Linked DNA regions of Bombyx mori. The protein of the gene in region 2 purifies or fractionates together with the protein of the main gene of each other region. This does not show direct contact. Links are inferred from orthologs where the notes say so. Each region holds a gene or a part of one and is shown on either strand. Other genes may lie near its edges. The genes, in order: neurexin-4 and contactin.

The links.
Region 1: the proteins of contactin (region 2) and neurexin-4 purify together in Drosophila melanogaster (affinity purification with western blotting; 4 studies listed by BioGRID). This does not show direct contact. The link is inferred for Bombyx mori from reciprocal best matches to the Drosophila melanogaster genes Cont and Nrx-IV.

The regions. Positions count from the first base shown.
Region 1 is NC_085115.1:15,825,100-15,837,065, reverse strand, and holds the start of neurexin-4, read right to left. Parts: upstream 6,354-11,966; 5' UTR 6,210-6,353; coding exon 6,143-6,209; intron 5,950-6,142; coding exon 5,836-5,949; intron 3,208-5,835; coding exon 3,011-3,207; intron 2,592-3,010; coding exon of another isoform or gene 2,395-2,591; intron 1-2,394. Other genes in the region: cytoplasmic dynein 1 intermediate chain, read left to right, coding at 9,491-9,604, 9,979-10,169, 11,223-11,353. UniProt on the Drosophila melanogaster protein: Seems to play a role in the formation and function of septate junctions.
Region 2 is NC_085115.1:12,547,151-12,559,114, forward strand, and holds the start of contactin, read right to left. Parts: upstream 6,846-11,964; 5' UTR 6,467-6,845; intron 6,238-6,466; exon of another isoform or gene 5,965-6,237; intron 5,886-5,964; 5' UTR 5,883-5,885; coding exon 2,460-5,882; intron 2,131-2,459; coding exon 1,945-2,130; intron 928-1,944; coding exon 607-927; 3' UTR 1-606. Other genes in the region: uncharacterized protein LOC101735345, read right to left, coding at 10,014-10,238, 10,536-10,726, 10,982-11,193, 11,648-11,814. UniProt on the Drosophila melanogaster protein: Required for organization of septate junctions and paracellular barrier functions.

The DNA.
Region 1 (11,966 bases), about 3.3 Mb from region 2:
AAGATACGGCGAGAAACTCAGTGGGCTGTGTCGATTAATTCGCTCGTCGAGCCCTGCGTCGCAAGCGACGGGTTCGACGAGAACGGTGACCGATTCCGTCCGCGGTAGAGCAACGCACGTATGTAAGACCATGTCCATGGTGCTCGCTTTCATTTTCAAAGCAAAGTTAGCTTTGCTTCACAGGCACGGGCGCGGCCAGGGTTTCGGACGTTTACTCTAAGTCCGAAACGTATCCTTGGGGACACAGATTAACTGGTGGTATGAAATGTTATGCGCCCTTAGCATAGACAAAGCTAAACACGAATTATGTAGTGTTAGCATCATATATTCCAATTTAAAAATCGTATATCCCATTGCAGTTCAGAGTTGAGATTTCGATCGAATGTTTTTTTATTGCTTCGAAGAATACGACCATGATGAATGAAAACTACCATACATACGTTCCACTTGGGGTTAAGCGGTTGCCGACGTTTATACACATCACAATAAAAATGCCATCATCAAACTGTAGCACAAATACGAAGTTTGAATTTTAAATGTACAACATGGAATGGAGAGCATCAGCAAGGCAAGTACCTACCACAATAATCTCAATCACGACAGTACCATACCAGTTGTGATTTATAAAAGGACTCGGGTCATCGACCGCTCAAGTAATTCATTTAAAGATAATGAAAAACATTTATTGTGGTTTAGACCTGTATGTCAATTGTACAACAAACACCAGATTTTCTATTTAATTATGTACTTAATTTTGTTCATCATCCCTGTCCAAACCTAAACATAATTTACTCAAAATATTAGCCCCTCTGCCACTGCCACAAGCAATATAGTGTGTAGGTATCAGAAATGTGGATGTGTTGAAGAAAATTTTAGAAAACAAAATATTCCGCACAGAGTAGAGATAGATAAAAGCATGATAATTGCTAACAAAGTAATTTAAATGCATGCATATACCAGAGGTGCCGTAGATTGACCCAACAATAGTTTACTACATTAAAATATAGTCTTATTTTTTAGCTATCACGCTGCTGCCTGCTTTATTATTCTACATAAATCGTTTGCCAGACTACCGACATGTAAGCCAGTTGATTGTGTGAAGTATGATACCTCGATATATGTCCATCATACCAATCAGATCATATCGACGGGTGTAAGACCGTTACGGTTTAAACGACATTTTTGTAACTTTACAGAGGTGCCATTTACAGTTCAAAGTTTTGTAAAAATATTATGACAAAAAAACTTCTTCAGCTATGCTGGCGCCGTTGGGATGAGATGTTGGGTGCAAGGCTTATTCGAACAAAAGTAGACTGTATTTATTAAATCGGATCAAAATTAGTACAATTTTACGGGACCGACAATGATTGTATTTTTCGTTGATGCACGTCGTTTTATTTTGTAAGTCCACGCCTCTCCCTCGCTTCCGCCGCGGTGAGGAAAATAGCGTTGCTGTTTCGCACAGGCTATTTGAACGTGGTGAACATAATTGATGTTCAATTGAAAACATCAAATTGTTCATACTAGTATCAAATTACACGCAATTACAAAGCTAAATGGGGCGTATTAAGCGAAATGTCGCTTAAACCAAATAGCTACTGGTGGTAGGACCTCTTGTGAGTCCGCGCGGGTAGGTACCACCGCCCTGCCTATTTCTGCCGTGAAGCAGTAATGCGTTTCGGTTTGAAGGAGGGGCAGCCGTTGTAATTATACTGAGACCTTAGAACTTATATCTCAAGGTGGGTGGCGCATTTACGTTGTGGATATCTATGGGCTCCAGTAACCACTTAACATCAGGTGGGCTGTGAGCTCGTCCATCCATCTAAACAATAAAAAAAAGCCTTTCACCTCTCGAACCGCGTAGGTTCCATATTTATTTATTTAAGCGCAAAGGTCAAATAACAGAAAAAACAAATAAATAGATTTATTGCTGTTTAAAAGAAAATATGTGAGTGTCAGCTCCGATGCCCGACTGGAGTTTATTCTTGTAATCTATGAATACATATGTCAACTAATGAATGTCAAGGAAGTATTTTATTGTACTAGTGTAGTACTACTACATTCATACTCATACATTCATTAAACATTATTACATTAAAGTAAGTACAGTAAAAGTCCTAAACTATATGCTGTGGCTCTGCATATGTAGGTCCCACAATCATACTTTACATGCAATGAACTACTATTAAATATAAAAAAACAGGCATTAAATAATAATGTTTAACTCAAATATAATTTAATAGTGTTGGGTTATTATAAAGAAAATTAATTTGTACAATCAAAATTAAATATTATGTACATAACTGTGGTCGCAACTATTAATTTCTATTCCATATCATTGATAGGCTCCAGCAACTCTAAGTGTCAAGCCAAGCACCTATAGTTATACAATACCTGCGTGTACCCATCCCTCCTGGCCACAAGTTTCCAACTCTCCCCGTCGTCAGAGTACTGAAGCATGTACTCCGTGACATATTCGTCTGTCGCGTACCTCCCCTTTGTGGCAATACCGCGCAGTTCCACGCGCTTGTGGAAGTCCAGGGTCAGATGCTGGTAGTACGAGTTCTCGAAGGGCGTCCAAGCCGATGTCCCTTCACCGTTACAGTTAGTTAATTTAGTAACCAAACCGTGTAATTATTTACAGTGTGATATTTACATTTTATTTAGTAAAATAACCCTTTAATGCATGAATTTCCGAATGCAATAAAAAATTTACATCAGTGAATTTATTATGATTACTTTTTTTTTAACCATGACATTGAAATTTTTTTTTATCAAAAACAGGTCTGCTTGCTGCAACCATATTTAATTTGACCGTTGTGTAAAATTATTCTGCATTTAAGGGCTATAAGATAGATGTTGAAATATTATTATCATTAGAAAGAAGTGTTTGGGGACAGTTTTACACCAATTGAAACATTATTTGACTATCTACTGCATTATCTACAGAATCTACAAAACCAAAAACATGCATACCAGCACCTTTCTGCTGAAAAATTTATATTTTTACCTTCACTTCACCACCAGGAGCTTTATACTGTACGTAATCTAGGCCATTCGATCCATAGCTGATATGGTATTCCTGGACAAACTCTTGGGAATGAGCCCGACCTTGCACTGCGATCCTGGTTATGTTCTTAACACTGCCAAAGTCAACAATCAGTTGCTGATCGAAATCACTCTCCGAAGCAGTCCAAGCGTTTGTACCTTGTGTACAAAAGTTTATTTTAAATCGTTCTATCCTTCCTTGTAAGGTTAGTTTCATTTTGGTGTTAGTTTTAATTACAATTTTTTTTTTCTTTTTAATATATATAATTTACTAGTCTCACATTTAAAAGCTTAAATCCCGACAAATTACAATATAACCAGACCCCATAAAATGCTATTAATATTTAAAAACTAAATATCCCATAAATAGACTAAATACACGCTATTATTAAAAATTCTTCAATTGTTTCTTCACAAACTCATCACTAAATGTTTCATCAGTACTACACAAAGACTTGGCTTCCTCAACCAGCTCTTGATAAGACAAAACCTCATAGCATACTGGCGCATCTGTTGAATTATCTTTCTTTTGCAAAGACACAGCTACAGCATGCTTCTCATCGAGCAATGTCTCTTCAAAGATCCAATCCTCCTTCAAAGCATTCCTCTCATAGAGAACAGTATCAGTAACAATTTTGCCCATTTCTAAATGTAAACTCTTCAGTTGAAAACTGATTTCATCCAAAGGAACAGTTATACCAAACCCCACATTCTTTACGTAACTTTCTTTTAAGCACCATATACGGTAAAAACAAGCAATTTGCTCTAACTCAGTTGAAAAACTGCGTATAGTCGACCACTCTCGTGGTGAGAACTGCCTGGCCATGATCCGAAAGAACTCTGGGATATTCTTGTTCACAGGTGGCTCAATTTTCATGACGTCAATTCCCACATTCCAATCTTTGCATCCAGCTAGAACCACAAAGTCTCCTTGGTGAGAAACATTGAAACTTATCTTCAAATCAATAGGATTAAGCAAAAACGGTTTCCCACGGTCATCTCTACCAAATTTTATCTCATCATAAGGAGTCGATGTTGAGGTCTGTACATACTTTCTTAACATGAGTCTTCCAATAAGTGACGATTTAGCATCGTTCTGGAAGACAAATCTGGATATCCTCTGTTTTTCTTCATTTTGTATATAACTTGAAGCCAATAATATTTCTTCTTTCGTTGGCTGCCACTCACGTGTATTAAATGCCCATCGCACATTGCCTTTGTTGGCCATTTTTGTTAATACTCTGCAATATTTATAATTTGGGGTCCTATTACAGAGAGTTTTGAGGACCTGCAGACCAACGAAATATGGTTTCAGGTCCTTTCTGTTTATTTAATCTTATTGTTCTTTTAATATGTTATAACTACAAAATAATCAAAAAACACTTGGAAAAAAACTTTTAACATGCAATAAACATTCATTCAAATGATTGATTGTGTAATCTAGTGAACTTTTAAAGTAAAGCAGAACAAACAATATACCAAAGTAGTGATAAAATATGGTAGCTATTTTTTGTAGCCTCGAATCAATTTAAAGTTTTTGCCTTACATTTTCCATTACAACAAATTGGCAGAGCAATATTTATTATTAAACTAGTATTACTACCATTATATGGTTCTATAAATAGCACAAAGATGCTACTTATATAATAAAAAAAATGCCTGGAATTATTCAATTTGCCACAAAACAGTAATGCATTCTGATTTGAAAAGTTTGACATCTATTACACTATACAATTGAGGCATTATCTCATGTCTCAAGGCGCATAGTACTCTCATTGTGGTGTCTATGGGATCCAGTAATAATTGAACATCAGGTGGGTTGTGAAATCATTCACCCATTTATGTAACAAGAAAAATATTAAGTCTTTATATATATATCATATATTTATTTGTAAAAGATTTGATTGACCACCCATTTCAACTGACCCATTAAAAACTTCTATGATGTATATATAACATATTAATAATGTGTGATATATCTCAGTTTTTAATTAAAATATGATTGTACCATATTTTATTATGATTAATACTACCTAATACTGTGAAAACCAAGCCTTGTGAGCTTTTATAAAATGCTCCAAACACAAAAACATAAAGCTTTTCAAATTGTAAAATGAACACAACAATTTCACAATAAATTAAGTAAGTCAAAAATTGATAAAGGGATGAAAACCATTTTTTTTTTTCAAATTACTTAACCATAACTTTTTAATTACTAAACTTTATTTCATGATATTTTTAAAGAGTGATCAAAAATTACAGGCATCATTAAAAACACTTTATTCTTTAATTTGAAGTACACTAAATGATTACAGAGGATTCCAATACTACTCCATTTATTTCACTGTAAATCATTTAAATAACACTTTATAAAGCTTATATCACACTCTGAAATCTAAGGCACCATTGACTAAAATATAACAAAATAGTAACAGCTTAGAATAAACAAAATAGCTTTTCATCCCTTCTACTTAAACCGTACTTATTTTAAAAAAAAACATTTCCAGCTAGTACTGGAAAAAGACACTCCTGCAAATAGGAAATCAAAATGATGCCTAGTATTTGGGATGGATTTTGTAAAAGAACAATTTAAGGGGAACTTAAAATCGATTTTTACTCATCAACTGATAATTACACTCATCAGGTGATATAAACAGTGATTGCAGGTGTACTTTTTGCCTTTTTTAAGTTAAGCTGATTTTAAGGTCTAACATTAAGCAGCACAACATTTTCAAAACGACGTTTATGTTAAAGCCCGTATTAAATCGATATTTTTTTATTTCTTACCATATAGCTTAGCATTCTCGGGTCCTCTATCACGCAAGCTTGAAGTAGCCGATAGTTTAGAGTTAGCTACCAAAGGCTCATTGCATTCGTAATCGTAATAATAACGCACGAAATCTGAAAAATAATAAATATATTTGATCATGAGAAGCTATTGAAAACCAAGTTTCATTAAAACAATTTGTTGTGGAGTGAAAAGTGTACGAGTTTTAGCAATCGCTCTAAATATTCAAAGATCGGATGATGCATAAAATAAGCCCATTGCGCTTGAACTGTTTTTGAATAAAAATCAGCGGGTTATCACACTAACCTGCACCGGATTTTGTAATGCTATAACAAAGCAAAACAAATAAATAATACTGAAATCCAGTCATCATTTCATAATTATATTAAATGTAGTAGAAAACCAATGCTGCAGTTTATTACTCGAAAATTAAAATTAAACATAAAAGAAGTGTTTGATCATTACGAACGTTGTCAGTTTGGGCAGTTGTCATATAAACCGGCGCCGGGCAACACCCTTGTAGTGCTGCCAGCATTTATCAAGATTACCACAAAAATTTGTAACTAAAGTAACGGTCAAAATTTATTGACGCAAACCAATTGATTTTGAAATAAATGAAATCTCCAAATTTTAGTAAAGTATTTTAATAAGCAGACTACATAAAAAAGAATTAAAATTTATTCTAATGCTCTAGAAGTTAGTCAAAATAAAACAATCTCAGCACGTAAAAAATATATACACAACTTAGTAAACTAGATAACAAACTGTGTCACTTGTAACTTGTGATGGGTGGAGAACATAAAAAAATTTGAAATTATCTAATTACTGTTGTCTTATTGTATATAATAATAAAACATGAATTTTTACTCTGAAAGTCGGTACCTATGTAAGCCGTCAATAAATATTATCCAGTATTATAATTACAGATAAATTAAACTTGGCTTACTCATTTCATTTAATATAGTACTTGCATAATGTTAACTAAAGATGTCATAAATTTGCCTAGCAACAATGGCATAATTACAATGCTTCACGGCTTCTCAAGGCACCTCCCCTCGCGTCCTTTTCTCACTGCTGAGGGTCGTGACCAACATATTTTGACAGGATTTTATTTCTTGCAATGTCCCTCCAACTCCAGCGCCTCTGATAGTTGGGCGCATGAAGGGCGTCGTGGAATGGTATCCCTAGTGTGGTGCAGATTTGATTGAACCACCTTGTCGGACTGCGCCCGCGCGGTCTCTTTCCCTCGATCTTCCCTGTCCTGAGTAGTCTTTCTAGGCTATCGGCCGTTTTCCGAGCAATATGACCGAAGTACGCGAGTGCATTGCGAAGGCAGAATGTAGACAGTCTTGTCTTGATCTGCAGTTGATCCAAGATAGACACATTAATTAGTTCTCTTGAGGTTTTCTTGGGGGAGGTTCGTGGTGCATTCCGAAGTAGTCTTACCGAAGGTATTTAATTCCTCAAGGTCACCAAAAGACTCTCAATGCGCCAATTGCCATGAATTTTATTTAAAATTATGTGAAATTTTATTTTTTAAGGGATTTTATGACCTGGTAACTAAGACCTTAAGGTCATGTCTTATTTTAATTTATATTCCTATTTTTATGAAAACTGATAATATGGAGTGAAAAGAAATGATATGAAGATGATTAATTTGAGAAATTAATCAACTGGGATGAAATTCAATCAAATGAGATAAGATGATATGGGATGAAATATAATCTCAGTAAAATGGTGGTCATTTACTGTGATTTTTTCAGTTGTACACTTTCACAGAAGTTAAACAGTTAATAAACCACCGTTATTACACATTTAAACCTGAAGAAATACTAAATAGACAAAATAAACAAATCACACAACTTCACTTCTCGCGCTCCCGCCAAATAGTCTCTGAAATTTTATTCTACCGAGTTGACGCATAGATCACTATTAAGGAGGTTTGACGTTCATTTCATTGAACGAAATGTCAGATACAATAAAAAAAGAGTAAAAAACAACTGAGTCAATCGGATCTACAATGTTCTTGTATTGATTTATTGAAATTTATTCTACAATTATCCGGAATTACTGATAAGTAAAGGAACAGCTTCTAAAAAACACCGAATTTATGAACCTTTCGCTAAGATCTTCGTTTCGGAACTAGGATTCATTGAACATCCCGTTACTCATCATCTGTTTGCCACGTTCTGTCGGCATTTTTATTCTGTATAATTATTAATATGACTCTGATGTAGATATTTTGGCTGTGTTTATTAAAAGGTAAGTCAAAATTTCGGCCTCAGCGTATAATACGGTCTTATATACAAATTATGACATCATCATTCATCAATCAATAAAGTTACATAAAGTAATTTAAATTGTAATAACAATATAATATATAAATGTAAATTGTATGTTTTAAACAGATAATAAAGTATTAAACTACTACATTGACAATTTAATAATGTTGGTTTAAAAATTTTTTGACTCAATTGTTTTGTAATTTTAACTTAATAAAATCCTAAATACACCATTTAGAAATAAGCTATTTATACACAAGCTTTGATTATAAACTGAGACTTCATCATCTACCAATACCAATGTTAAATTCCCTGCCTAACTTTCCTAATATTTTCATTGTGTATTCTTAAAAACCAAATGAAACATTCCAACAATTTAATTGCATTTCAATGGTAATTCTCTCAGTAGTTATATCAGGCCCAGTGTGTATTCACCTAAGTTGTTCTATTAATTTTCGTAAACTTTGTATAATGAACACCAGGATAACCTGTGAAACGTTGTCTGTTTATTGTTGTGTTACTTCAGTATTGTTATATATATTAGTATATAGCTTCAGCTTAGTCTAGTGGGGCTGTGTCTATTATGAGTTTGAGTTTGCTCACTGAGCAGATTGATAATTGCAATCTTTTTTATAGAAAATGTATTTAGGACATTTTACTGGTGGTAGGACCTCTTGTGAGTCTGTGCAGGTAGGTACCACCACCCTGCCTATTTCTGCTATAAAGCAGTAATGCGTTTTGGTTTGAAGGGTGGGGCAGCCGTTGTAACTATACTGGAGACTTTAGAGCTTATATTACAAGGTGGGTGGCGCATTTACGTTATAGATGTCAATGGGTTCCAGTAACCACTAAACACCAGGTGGGCTGTGAGCTCATTTACCCATCGAAGCAATAAAATAAAAAAAACAAGCGAAAAATCACACCTTGTGGTTGTCAAAACATTATATTTGTTTTTGTCTGCTACAACCACAATCTTTTTTCTTGGCATTCACATCCAGCACGGCAGTGGTAATCTCACAATGTGTTATTGGTCAAACTTACTAATTATTTCAATTTCTTTGAGAACTTAAGTTAAAAATAAGTGAATGTGAGAAGTGTCATTCATCAAATAATGCCTCACTCTATATTTAGTTTTTAGTCGGATTACTCCATGAATAACCAACAAGCCATTGTATTTATTGTTATAATGGCAAAATAGCATTGAGTTACATAAACTTATTAAGAATTGATTATTTAGTTCTTTAAAATAATATTAAGATCCTTCATTGTTATTTTTATTTACTTAAAAATTTTCAGACAAAAGTTACTCAAAATTTCGTAACCCCGTTAAGATATCAAAATTTAATGTTTTGCAGTAACCAAGACGTTGAGCATGTCGGATCGGAAGGCGGAGTTGGAGCGAAAGAAGGCGAAGCTCCGCGCCATAAGAGAGGATAAAGATCGGCGCCGCAGAGAAAAAGAACAGAAAGATGCTGAAGAAGCACTGGTCAGTAATAACATTATTCAACAAACTAAATTTAGGAGGCATCTATTTGCTATAGGAGCTTAATATGGTGCTCAAATGGGATAAGACCGGATTCCTGTACAAATTTATCAAATTGTCATAAAAAATTCATTATAATTGATAGTTAAGATCGAGAGGATGACATAGATACCACCATTGTGCCTATTTCAAGCTCTTGTTCCAAACTGAATAAGAACTTTCATGATGTGATGTCTCTGGTCTCTGTTAACCAATTGACGACCAGGTGGATTTATTTATCCATGTAGCCAGAATAAAAATTTACATTATATCTTGGTTAAATTAGATTAAATTTGCTGATCCCACAGATGTGACTAAACAAATAAATATTTTTGTAGCAACGGGCATCGGCCACATCTAGCCTGGACAGTCGTCGTGACATTGACGAGATGCTGTCCTCCCTTGGAGTGGCTCCAGTTAAGGATGTCCTCTCTTCTTTATCATCAATGACTTCACTGTCTCCACCTCAGACAGCCTCACCAGATGCCAGTTTACCGCATACAGATAAAGCCAGCCTACAATTGCAAGGGTTAGTTAGTTAAATAAGTTCTGAGCTGAAGAATTTTTTAATTCTTTCTAGAAACTTTTTTTTATTGCTTAGGTAGGTCGATGAACTCACGGATCATCGGGTGTTCAGTGCAAACCGGAGCCCATAGATATAAACAACAATATAGATATCGCCACCAACCCTGAGGCATGAGTTTATAGCACAATAGCTGCCCCACCCTTCAAACTGAAACACATTAGTGCTTCACGGCAGAAATGGGCAGAATGGTAGGCAAGGCCCCTATCACCAGGAATTACGCAAATTAGAATTTTTGCAGGTTTGATTTTTATTACACAATTAATAACTTCACTATGAAAGTTATTCGTGAACATTTGTTAAGTACGTATATCATTAGAAAGATTGGTACCTGCCCGCGGGAATCGAACACCGTTGCATCGCAAGATACGAACTTAACGATCTCAACCTTTAGGCCACGACGATTTCGAGTAAATGATTATTAGTATTATCATAATTTTTGTTCGACAATCACCAGTGATGAGCTGAACATGTTTATTTGAAAACTGACTGAGTTTTTTTCCGCATACGAGTTGTCATGGTCAGTGATGTCTAAACAAGAACAATATAAGCAATATTGTGGCATTTCATATTGATGAGTCATAGCGATTAGGCGTTGTTAAACTTTAAAATAAATAATAGTTTAAAAAAACTAAGCTTTTCAGGATATTATCAAAACAACCCTTCTACTCATATCTGTTCATAAAATATTTATAACTATTGATATCATGCACCCCACGCTTTTTTTATAAAAATCATTTTTTCCTGCACTATTTTTAATTCAAAGTTATTAAAATTTATTTTCTATTTTTTAGTTAATCTTAATTTTTTTTTATATTAAATTTTCATCGGTCCTTAATAAGTATACCAAAATTCCAGTTAATCCAATGTTTTGAAGGGGGTCAAAATCATGTTCAAAGATTCCGTTACATACATACGTCTGAAGCTAATAAAAGCGTATTAAAAAGGCATAGTGTTTATCAGTTATTTACATATATCTCTATTCCTGAATCCCGCCAGCGGTCCAAAGAAGCAACCTCAAGAATTACAAGTCGTCTTCGTGCAGTCCACGGACATACCGCCCAAGGAGACGGTGATCTATACGAAGCAAACGCAGACCACCACGTCGGGCGTCACCGAACTACGTGACGGTATGTGATCAAATTATTTGTTGTTGTGTTGTGGTTGATGTAGAATGTAATTGTAGTTGTTCGATCCACGAGTTCGTGGCCCATCTGGTGCTAAGCCGTTACCGGAGCGGCAAAATCTGTGAAGCATATCGACGCTTGAAAGGCAAACGTGACTAAGCGACAATAACTGCTCTGTACATAAATGATAAGCAATAACCATATTCGATGCGCAAAAAATATATTTCTAGGTCTATTAAAATCATTTCAATCCTACAGGTACTAGCTAGATTCTACTACATCTAGATTCGTTAAAATAAATTTTGTTTTCAGGTATTTCAACTTTAAATTAGTCTACTGTAAAGTTCGCGCATTGTCGCTTAGTCAAAAAAAAAAAAAAGTCGCTTAGTCACGTTTGCCTTTCAAGCGTCGATATGTTAGGAGAGGATGACAGATAAGGCAGTAGCCATTTGTCTCAACAGAGCAGACCATCTCGTAAACTAATTTCGTTTAGGCACAACCCCTTATGGTTAAATGTGCTAATTATTTAATTGGCGTTTAAACGTATTTCCATAACAAATTTATGTCCGTTTTATGCTCAATATATTGAATCCATTCTACATCAATTACAAATGTT
Region 2 (11,964 bases):
CAATAATTTAAAAAAAGGTATAAAATGGCTCGGATTATCGATAGACTGCAATCTATCATTACTTAAAAGCTAAGAGATTCTATTTGAGTAGTAAAATTATGTTACCCATATCTTAGAATACATAAATGTGTATTTCTTTTACAACCATTCATATTTTCAATGTATCATTTATTTGTATAAAAATATAGTTCAAATTGAAGCTGCCGTACCCAAAAACATTATTCTGAGTCTTAGTTCAACTAAAGGTGAAATGAACATATTTTATTTTATACTTATTGCGATACATACACTTATTGTCAACTTACATTTAAACTTAAAATTAATTTTCTACAATTTAAATATGAAAAAAATCAAAATCGCATTTAAAAATCAGTGCAAAATATACAGATCAAACAAAATAAATATTGTGATAGAAAGTTACATAATCACTTGACATGGGCGGAATAAAATAAAATTACAAAAAAAAAAAAATATGTAAATATTTGTGTAACAATAGTTACTTTTAACAAAATAAAATTGACTGACATACTACGAAATAGAACGGAGTATCAAAATATGAAATTTCTTATTCACTTGAATGGTCATGGAGAAACTTAGAATTTCAACTTAATCGAGACTTCGATGGTGGATTACACAAAAATAAACAAGAAATATCGATGCTAGTAGAAACTCGACCGGCTTGTGTCGATGGTTGGACGTGGATCCTCTCGCGTAGTAGCCGTACGCTTCGGAATGGTAGTCTCCGATCTGGAAGGCGATGGTTGGGGAGGACATCCTGCCGTCGCCGCCGTTGGAGTAGGCCAGCACGCGAAGGTTGTACGACTTGCCCGGAATGATGTTGCTGATGTAGGCCTCTAGTTTGTGCTCGATCGGTACAATGGTATCGTTCGCTGTGCTCATGTCTTGGTCGAGCTCCCATAATCGTACCTAAAACGATATAAATAACAGTATATACAGATAGGTATATACAGGTAGGCAGCAGCTTGGCTCTGCCCCTGAGATTGCTGAAGTCTAGGGGCGACGGTAACCACTCACCATCAGGTGGGCCGTATGCTCGTCTGCCTACAAGGGCAATAAAAAATATATATATATATATATACATAAATATATATACAAAAGTAAAAGAAAACATTACTACGTGCATTGGAGGTTTATATTGAGCACTCGCATCAATTTTTATGACCATCCTATCTATTTAGGCCACGATATATTTTTGCGTCTCGTTTTGAAGTTTATTGATTTATATTTATAGTTACAACCTTGTAATTCGTTTACTGAAACTGTTTTAGTTTATCGTTTAGAAGAGAGCGCAGAAGATCCAATATAAAGGCGTTGCGGATGTCGAATGCCTAACTAGTAATAATTGTTCAACGTTTGAAACTACACTCCTTAATTGCAACATTAACAAATATATAATAAATATAATAATAATTTTATGTATCCTTCTGGATAACTTGCAACTACAATATACTGTAAAAAACTGTAAAACAATATATATGTCAGCCATTTTAAGGTTTCTTTCGCATTAATTTTACTAATCGATGGAAGGCATTCTTTAAATATATATAAAACAACAGTTTTAAATTTCTAATTTTACATTATTATTATTTTATTGCTTTGATGGATCGAAGAGCCCAGAGCCCGCCTGGTGTTAAGTGGTTACTGGAGCCCATAGACATCTACAACGTAAATGCGCCACCCACCTTGAGATAAAAATTCTCAAGGTTACAGTATAGTTACAACGACTGCCCCACCCTTCAAACCGAAACGCATTACTGCTTCACGGCAGACATAGGCAGGATGGTGGTACCTACCCATGCGGACTCACAAGAGTTCCTACCACCAGTAAACATTTACAACTCCTTACATTTTTCTAGTCTGTTAATTCAGTTTTCCTATTTATAAACTAGTGGTGTGTGCTCGACGGCACTCCGCAACACTAACCTTATATCCGAGCAGAGGTTCTTCCTCGTTGGTGGGTTGGACATACCGCCACACGACGCGCAGGGTGGTGGGGTCGTGGGCCCACACGTTGACGGAGGCCGGGGGCTTCTGTGGCGCCTTGCGGAACGTGCGCTCCAAGTATCGCTCGCTTTCCGGGCCTTCTCCCGCTGAGTTGAACGCCATCACCTGGGGAACACATTATTGTGATAGTACACGCATACCAATAATATGTTCTTTTTTTATTGCTTAAATGGGTGGACGAGCTCGCAGCCTACCTGGTGTTAAGTGGTTACTGGAGCCCATAGACATCTACAACGTAAATGCGTCACCCATCTTGAGATATAAGTTCTAAGGTCTCATGTATGGTTACAACGGCTGCCCTACCCTTCAAACCGAAACACATTACTGCTTCACGGCAGAAATAGGCAGGGCGGTGGTAGCTACCCGGGCGGACTCACAAAAGGTCCTACCACCAGTAAAGTTCAAGTTCATAGTTGATCAAATATAAATTATACCTTCACATAATAATATGTATCTGGCTGGAGACCAACTATAAGAGCCCAATTTCGAGTCGTTCGAGACAAATAGTAGATGCACTCCTCTTCTTTGTTCTCCTGTTTCCAGTACTTGAGACGGTGGCCTATCAGCTTGCCGCGCAGCCTCTCGCGCGACTGATCGATCGGGTTCCAGGTCACGTTCAGGGCTGTGGAGTTAAAGGACCGCGCGGAGACCAGCTGCGGCGCGACCTGCGGCATGTCCTCCGCCGAATAAATGGTTACTACTTCGCTCTCTGGCCCGGGACCTATATCGTTGAAGGCTTGTACTTTGACATCGTACGGCGTGTAGAAATACGTGGAAGATATGTGCACGACGTATGTCCCGATGTTTCCGTACTTCTTAAGAAGCAAGGACTGAAATTCGACTTCGGAGCCGTTCCGGCGCCAGAATATTTTGTAATGTATGCCGGGTCCGTTTTGGAGGGAGGTCGGTAAGGGCGTCCACGTGATTGTGAGGTCACCGGTCTTCCCGCCGCCGCCGCTAACGTTCGCGGGCGCCTCATAGGGCTTGTCTCCCGACGTTGAGAACTGCGGACTCGGCGCGGACGGTTGCCCCGGACCCAGTATATTAATAGCTTGAATTCTAAACTCATATATGGCCCACGGTAGAAGCGTCGTGGAAACAGTGGCTCGTTTACGCCCATTGTATCTATCGACTTCCATTACGTTGGGTATATTCTCGCTGATCACGTACCAAGTTGAGTTCCAGTGGGTGCGTCCGGTCAGCATGTATCCAGTTATAGGGCGACCGTTTGAGTTACTGTCGGTCCACTCTAGGGTCACCGAAGACCTCTGTATGCCAAGTATTTGTACGCCTCCCGGCGGACCTGGCGGGCCCTCTATACGCAGCTGCACATGAGAAGAGATTCTTCCGATAGCGGACTTAACGACACATTCGTAATCTCCCACATCCGAAAGACTTACATTGTAAATAGTTAGCTCACCACCGTCAATTTTTATTCTTTTGTTGACATACAGATCTGATGAGTCTTTAATCCGCAAGCCATTATGGTTCCATAGATACGCTGTATCTAAAATAGGATCTACATCGGCATTACAGTGCAAGAAAACTACTGAATTCACTTGTGCAGTGATCCGAGGGGGGAGTTTTTCAAGGAAACGTGGTGCACGTAAGACAATTAGACGACCTCTACTCTCATCAGTGCCGTATTGATTCTTTGCGACGCATGTGTACACGCCCTCATCATCTCTGGAAAGTTGTCTAATAATTAAATTCCCATTTTCGGTAATGAATCTTTTTCCTCCTGCCCCAATAACTATGTTGTCTTTTTTCCAAGTGAATGTTGGCTTTGGGGCAGCTTCTGGTTTGCATTTTAATGTCACATTTCCACCTTCAGAACCGTATGTCTCCAATTCTAAAGGATGTTTTTTAAATGATGGTTTCAAAGAGAGCACTCGTAATTGCGCTGACGAGTAACTAGCTTTCAATTGATTCTTTGCTTCACACTGGTACATTCCAGGATCTCTTGTTGGGTCTAAATATTTTATAATCAAAACATTGTCTTGAATAATGTACCTATCACGGTCCTGTGGTTCTAGATTATCTTTTTTTAGTTTTTTACCATTTTTCCACCATGTGTAATTAACATCTGGTATCCCAAATGCCTCACAGTTCCAATGTAATTCTCCTTTGTTGTCCATATGTTTATCGCCAAGAGGAATTGTAAAATTTGGTTCAGCTTGTACTTTTAAATACACACTATTTGATATCCTCGCTCTGTCATTGTGAACATCACAAATATATTCGCCTTCATCCTCTACACCTACATTGGGTATTGTTAAAACCCGGTCAAAATTACTCAATTGAGCTTTTTTAGGTATAAGGCCATTCTGTCTGGTCCAATTATAAGAAGGTACTGGGTAGCCAAATGTGACACATTCCAGGCGGACTTCTTGCCCAACCACTGGAGCTTCAGGAAATACTTTAGGAAAGCTATTTGGGAATTTCAATTGCTGATAATCTGAATGCGGATAAACCTGTAAGGGAAAGAATGGACCATTTCTGCCTTCATCAGACACTTTACTCATTACATTACAACTATAGTTGCCTCGGTCTATTGTTTCTAAAGCTGAGAAATAGAGGCCACCGTCATATGACACAAAGACACGTTTATCTTCTTCCACAAGGTTAGGGAAATAATTCCGAGCCCACAGAATATTTACAGCTGGATAGTACGAAGGAGGATCACAATACATTACTTTACCCCAGTATTGATTTCCACTTTCTACTGGCCTCTTTTGATTGAAATCTCTTATGAATCCAAATGACAACCGGACAGATTCTGATCTAATCGTACCAAACTTGTTTGTAGCTGTACAGTGATATTTTGTATTATCCTTTTCACTGTCAGGGTTATAAATCATTAAAGTTCCTCCACTTAATATAATCCTACTGTCAGCTAAAGGATCTATTTCTGTGTAAACTGGACTGTCAACTTGATAATCTTCTCCGAACCATTTGTAAGTTGGAGCTGGAAATCCTCCTGCTATACAAGTAAGTTGGACATAATGATTTCTTAAAGGATCATAAACAGTATCTTCCGGCTGTTTTACAAAATATGGACCTCTCGGAATCCTTTCTGGATCATAAGTATCTAAGCCATAAGTGAATGATCTTTCTTCTTCTATTAAATAATGTAAACGCTGCATTTGCCCCTCACATATAAAGTGATAATATTGTGTACCTTCTACAGCAGCTAAGCCCCAGCGTCCATCTTGATGTGAAAATTTGTATACCAAAAAATCTTTAGGAAATATATTATAACTATTTAATGAAAATTGTCGATCGTCGAAGAAAGCATTCTCAAGACCTGTCAACTGTGAACCATCATAATCATTGGACCAATAACCTGGAGACTGTTGGTGAGCTCCTATATACCATGAACCCTTCTGAGGGTCGAGCCTCATTAAATTGTTTATTATAAAACCATGTTCTTCAGGGCTATTGACGGCTACTAAATCAGCTTCATAGGCTTGGCATATTTTTCTTGCTTCATTTCTAGGACGATCAGGAGACTTCGTAAACCGATAACATGACTCTTTGTAGCGGAGCCAGTTGGGTGGACATCGGTACTTCTCTTCGTAATCTAAGCCAGCATATACACTCGCAGTATTTTCGACATCATTTTCATTTTCAGCATAGCTGTCACTGTTGTAGAGGCTGTCCTGGTAGAAAGAGCTTTGAGGTGGCTGTTGATATTCATTATTTACGGGAAAACTGCCGTAAGGGATTTGGGGCCCGGGACGATATTGTGTATTATTCTGGTTTCCTTCCGGATAGTTCTGATTATAGATACCATTTTCAGGTGCTTGGGTCCTCACCAAACTCGCAACTGCGAGTACAAGGAACGTACACTTCATCTTCTGTGAATAATAACAAAATTCATTACATTCAAAATAATAATCGAATATTTTTATCGTCATTATTTATAATCTTTCAAACCTTATTGACTAGACATAACGTGTTTATATTGTTCAAAACAATTCCAATGCTACGTTTAGTAAAACTAATCTTCTGCACTATATTTTCATAAACGAATAAGAAAAATAATAAATATTATAAACAAGGCAGCCTCGCCCAAATCAGTATTCCGTCATGCAGTGTTGCCACGTTTCGTTTTGAAAAGTAACGCCTTTTAAAGATCTTGAAAGAGCTACTCGAAAACTACTATCGCATACATCCTAAACATTACTTTTACGGTAGAACTCAATCGTACGTAGCCGCGAAAACTTTAGTGTTCGAAAAGTAAAAGCAGTTTTAGTAATATCTATGACATACGAATACTAATGAAAGTGATGGTTTTAACCAAAACCAAGTAAGTACTATTTTAACATATAAGGTCGCTTTCATTAGGTTTTATTGATATGTCGTTTCTAGTTTTGCCATTTAGATAAAAAACCTTTTATTTGTATTATAAACATGTACGCAGGAATAATAAAATAACCTTATTTAAGTACGAAATAACTTATCGCTCTGACACGGATCACTTCTAGCTCTTCCTTCCTTAGATTGAGCACTAATCAACATTTTAGGCTGTTGTAGTTCTCTTTTTTTTTATATCTTGAAGCATGATTTACCTTTTTGGGTTAACCATAAAACATTTCAACTAAAAAGTGTAGTTACTAGTCTAAAAATAGTTAAAGTGGCAACAAGAAAATCGTCCGTTTAACAGTAAATCAACCGTCATTTTTTTCATAATTATCGTGATCTTTCCGTATGAAGTCTTGAGGCTGTTATGTGAAATTTATTTTCGCGCGGAAAAGTTATTGTAATAATAACAACTGTATGTAGTTTAACCTTTTAATAAATATTTTTAATTAAAATTGTCGCTTAGCTTCATTTATTTACCAAGTATGCTTTTGAACGAAAGTAGAATGAATGCACAGATTAGTATAATAGTTACTGCGTAAAATGAATGAAGGAAAATCAAGCTACCACTTAGTGATGTCACTGATGTCTAAATATTAGTATGATATCTGATATTTGATTTGTTTTTGAATCGATTTTTGTTCATGTAAAACCTTTATTGTAAAATTTCACCAATGAAACTAAAAATGATATAAGTATAATTTAAATATAACTTCTCTTTGTAGCACGATGTGAAATCAAGTTTCAAAATTTTTTATATAATCTTTCGATCTGAATATTGAAATTTTAACTATTTTTATTAATTAATAATCATTAGACATCTAAGAAAATAGTATTCAAGGCATATAAAGTTGGTTTTTTTCCAGATTCACCCAAATAGTTTAGTGTAAATAATAAAAAGGAATATTTTTTGTGTTTTTGCATCTTTACCCTCTATGCATTCCTAAGCCATTTAAAAGATTGTGCTAATACAATAAAACAGTTACAGTGACACATAGCACTTCAAGGAAGTTTTCTGTCATAATTATCATCAAAGTGCGACGTGTGGCTTCAAGAGACACATTAGTATCCGATACTCCGGATCCACTCTAGGTGCTTTTATGCATTCCAAGCACCGGCTATTAGCAATAGGTGGCAAAAAAAGAAACGTGACTGGCTTTCAGTAGTGTAGATATGATTTAAAGAAATCGACTGAAGCAGTTAGGTACTTACTATTGAGTTGCTAGGCCTCCTTTGAAGGCGCTCGGGTAGCTGTTAGCAAATTCCGCCCCTATTTGCTCGTTCACCTGTTCTGGTAAAACTGTAAAAGCCTCCGGGCCACCAATAATCCCTCAATCATAAAAAAAAAAGAAAAAAAATCGACTGTTTGATTAGAGATTCATTTATTTGATTATAATGAATAAATGGTAACAAAATATCTGAGTAGTTAATACCTGAGTTGTAGTATGTTATCGGTGCTCTAAACGCCTTTTTTTTTAAATTACTTAATGGATGAATGTATATTATATATAAGTTTAGTGTATAAATGTCGCTGTTTAAGAACATAGTTTACGAAAAGAGAGTTACCTCTATGGAAAAAATCTCATTACCTTAGGGTAGAAAAACACCAATATTTAATGACGAAGAAGACTACCTATTTTGCTAGTTTTATGTCTCAACATTCAGTTTTATGTTTCAACTTAACATTTTATCAAAGATTATTGTTTTCATGTAAATAAAACTAGAAATGAAAGGTTTTAAATAATCATTTTTTATTGAATTATGAACATTCACATTTTTATTTTCCATATTATCAACAAGAAATGTGTCATTAATTACAATAATACTTACATTGTAGATAATGCTAAAACATAGTATTACGCGTGTTTCATTCGGAAAGTACACATACAGCACTTTTACAACATTTATTTCAATAAATTCCCACCATTTCCGCACTCATGATAGTTTCCACTAATAATACGTCATCACAGATCAACAATGTACTTCTTCATTATATTCTCCACAAAGAAGGATATTAGGGCGGATTATGACCTCGTGCTACGCCAAATACTCGTATATCCCAAAATAATATGTAAATATCAGAGTTTAAATTATTATATCAATTATTCAATACATCATGATTTCATTGAGTGCATTCTGATTTTGCTCCTTAATAAATTACAAAATAGTTTTTTGTTATTTTAATTATTATTCAATTTTATTTACAGTAGATATGCTTTATAATTTGATTTCATAAAAAATAAAAAAGTTGATTTAATATAATATATTTTTTTAAATAAAACATAAATCATATGTTTTACATATAAAGAAAAATATTTCTATAAACATATTTCGATCAAAGAACATTAGCAAACATAACAAGGAAACAAAAAATAATATATATAATAATATGTAGTTTTTTTTTATTTATAGATTGCAAATTTTCTATTTAGCATAATCCCAACAATTTTTATTTATTTTATAACTGTACTTAGGTGATGTACAAAAAATTTACTAAATGAACATATCACTGGAGAGTGCAGTTATCAGACGACTGCACTGGAGTGCTTTACGCGCACAAGACAAGTGCGCTTGTCTTCATTAGATGACACCGAGTGCAATTCGTTCTAAGGCTTTAATCCGACCCTGTGACTGACATAACGCCCGCATCAAATTCATTCTCACCGTGTTAAGTTCTCACGTATACTATTGCACACACAAAGATTATGCTAACAACTTATTTTATGGTAACTATTACTTTACTATGAAAATCTACTTACAGAACTAAACGCAGCAAGCGAAATACTTACACTACCCGATAAACCATACACCAATTTAAATAGCACCCATGAGAATATCATACATTTAAAGCAACATTTATACGCAAAAGAAATCTTTTTAATTTTTATATACAATATTTACAGCAGTTGTTCAAATAATTTCGTACAAAACATCCGTAAATAAAACGTAATGACAAAATTTCAATTAGTCATTTTCAACGGATCGTTGAAGCGTTACAAAAGCTAGATCATAACAGAAAAATGAAATTAATGATTACACAATGGCTGCCCTTAAATTATACAGTCTCATGAAACTAATATAACAGAATATTGTTCTTAAATGAGATACAAAGTTACGTTACAGTAGTCAGTCCAGAGTTGAAGATCTTTTGAACTGTCTTCTGTTGCTTCCAATACTGTGAGCGAATGAGCATATTCCCTTTGGTCGCGACGAAACAAAATCATCGTTGATAGACCAAAAGCTCCACAAATACACATTTCATAAATTTGTCAATCCGGATAAAGAATTAGTCGTTATATTCAATTTAATAAAGTTTATATTGGAATATTTGAGTTCGATTTGAACTCCTACGATTTAACATTTATTTTAATCATACATATTTATTTATACCAACCGAGCATTATCGACGTCGTTGAGTTAAACTTGAACAAGTCACAAATATCGAGTTTTTTCCCTACAATTTGTGACTTCCAATATTTAGTAATGATCGATTTCGAACTAAGAATCTCGACACATATAGTAAGTAAGCACTGTGTATTAATTTTGTTTTATTTTTCATTTCTTGAATGCTGATACATGAGATTTTCATTTCAAACGTCGAGGGTTGTGAGTTAAAATTAATGTCAGCTAACAAGCACTGTTTCTATTTTCAAGAGTTGCCGCAGTTTATCCGTGACTCTGATCAGAGCCACTTTGGAGGCTCGGATGTTGACCTTCTCGCCGGCGCAGATGAGCTGGTGACACTGCGCTCGCTCCAAGAACTCCTGGGTTCGTATTTCACGAAGCAACTCCTTCGGGGAACCAGATCCGCAATGGATTTGCTTCAGTAGACTGTCTTTTGATTTTATCTGAAAGTAATGTCCGTCAGTTTTATTTGTTTGTTTGATAAATGTTTGGGTAAGGTTAGTGTGGGAAAATCGTATTGTATTATAAGTACATACTTGGTCGAAAATATTTGCATATTTTTTTGTTACTAATTTATTTTTATTAATAAATAAAATCAAGTTTTCTTACTAGAGATATTCTGTTGTATATAATTAGAAACATTATTTATCAATTGCAATATGCCCTTGATTGTGCTGTTATAAAATTTGAAATCATCTCTTTTTAAACTGTTACTTCATATAAAATACGACCTTATTCACCTGTAATAAATTAGTAATGTCCTGTAGCAGGCACCAGAGACCATCCGACGGCTGACCGGACCCGTTTTTGAGACTATAGAAGGGTGGTAGTGGCGCTTCTGTGCATTGAATTTCTATGGTCGCGTCCGGAGGAGGCGCGGGCGACGCGGGCGGCGGGGAGGACAACGGGTCGCAACCTATTTCTTCGTAATCTGAAATAAATTTTAACATTTAAAAAATAATAGGAATGAATAGCCCTTTACATGAATAGCTCGTTAGGTTACCAACGATTAGATAGAGACAAAAATGCTCCCTCTTCCTCTCGGGAGGTGCCGGAGTCCGACATAACCCGGTTCGTTACCCCCCTTGACCGGGTATTAGTAAATGGATTCCCCATCGTTTAAAAAAAAAAAAGGTACATATTTCAAAATTGATTAAATAGCATGTTGTCGATTACAAATACTTACCTATGACGTGCGTGGGTGGTGGAAACCTCCACGGCTCGATGGCCTGGCCCTGCACGTCAGCGATGTGAAGTCGTAAGAACTTAGTCGCCTGGCCCTCCGTCAACTCTTCGGGCGTTTGTCCGGCGTAGGTGCCCAGCAGTGGGTCAGCGCCGTACGCCAAAAGCAGACGTATCACCTCGACGTGGCAGTTCTCGCAGGCCTCGTGCAGAGGTCTGTAAGATATATATTCCAAAAATGTATCAAGTGTAGAGGTTTCCAGATGTAGACATTTGTTCAGAGCCTGAAGTGTTGTTGGAGCAGGATTTGGTTGTTTTATTTATTTATTTATTCCTTAGATGGGTGGACGAGCCCACAGCCCACCTGGTGTTAAGTGATTACTGGAGCCGATAGACATCTACAACATAACTACGCCACCCAACTTGAGATATAAGTTCTAAGGTCTCAAGTACAGTTAAAACGGCTGCCCTACCCTTCAAACCGAAACGCATTACTTCACGGTAGAAGTAGGCAGGGTGGTGGTACATACATACCCGTGAGGACTCACAAGAAGTCCCTACCACCAGTTGTTACAAGAGGTCCTACTAAAACTACCACTAGTTCTATTAAAATTCCAGATAGACAAATACAGGTCAAGATAACAAAAAGCGTGTCAAAAAATTAATTCACCTTATGCCTCCTTGAGCAGCCGCAGATACGTTTGCCCCGTATTGGAGTAAGAGTCTCGCAATTGGCACGTGACCCTTAGCGGCTGCCACATGTAAAGGTGTGAATCCCGCGTTATCTTTTGCAGACGGATCTGATTCCATTTTTTCTAAGCAATAGGCGACACAATCCTGTGAATATAAAATAAGATTTTAGTCGGTCACAATATGTACTTGCACATAATTTTATCTGTCTGTAATCTGAATTATAAACGATTTTTTTTCTCTTTATTACGAAGAAAATAAAACCTCTGAACAAATAAATACTTAGATATTGAATCA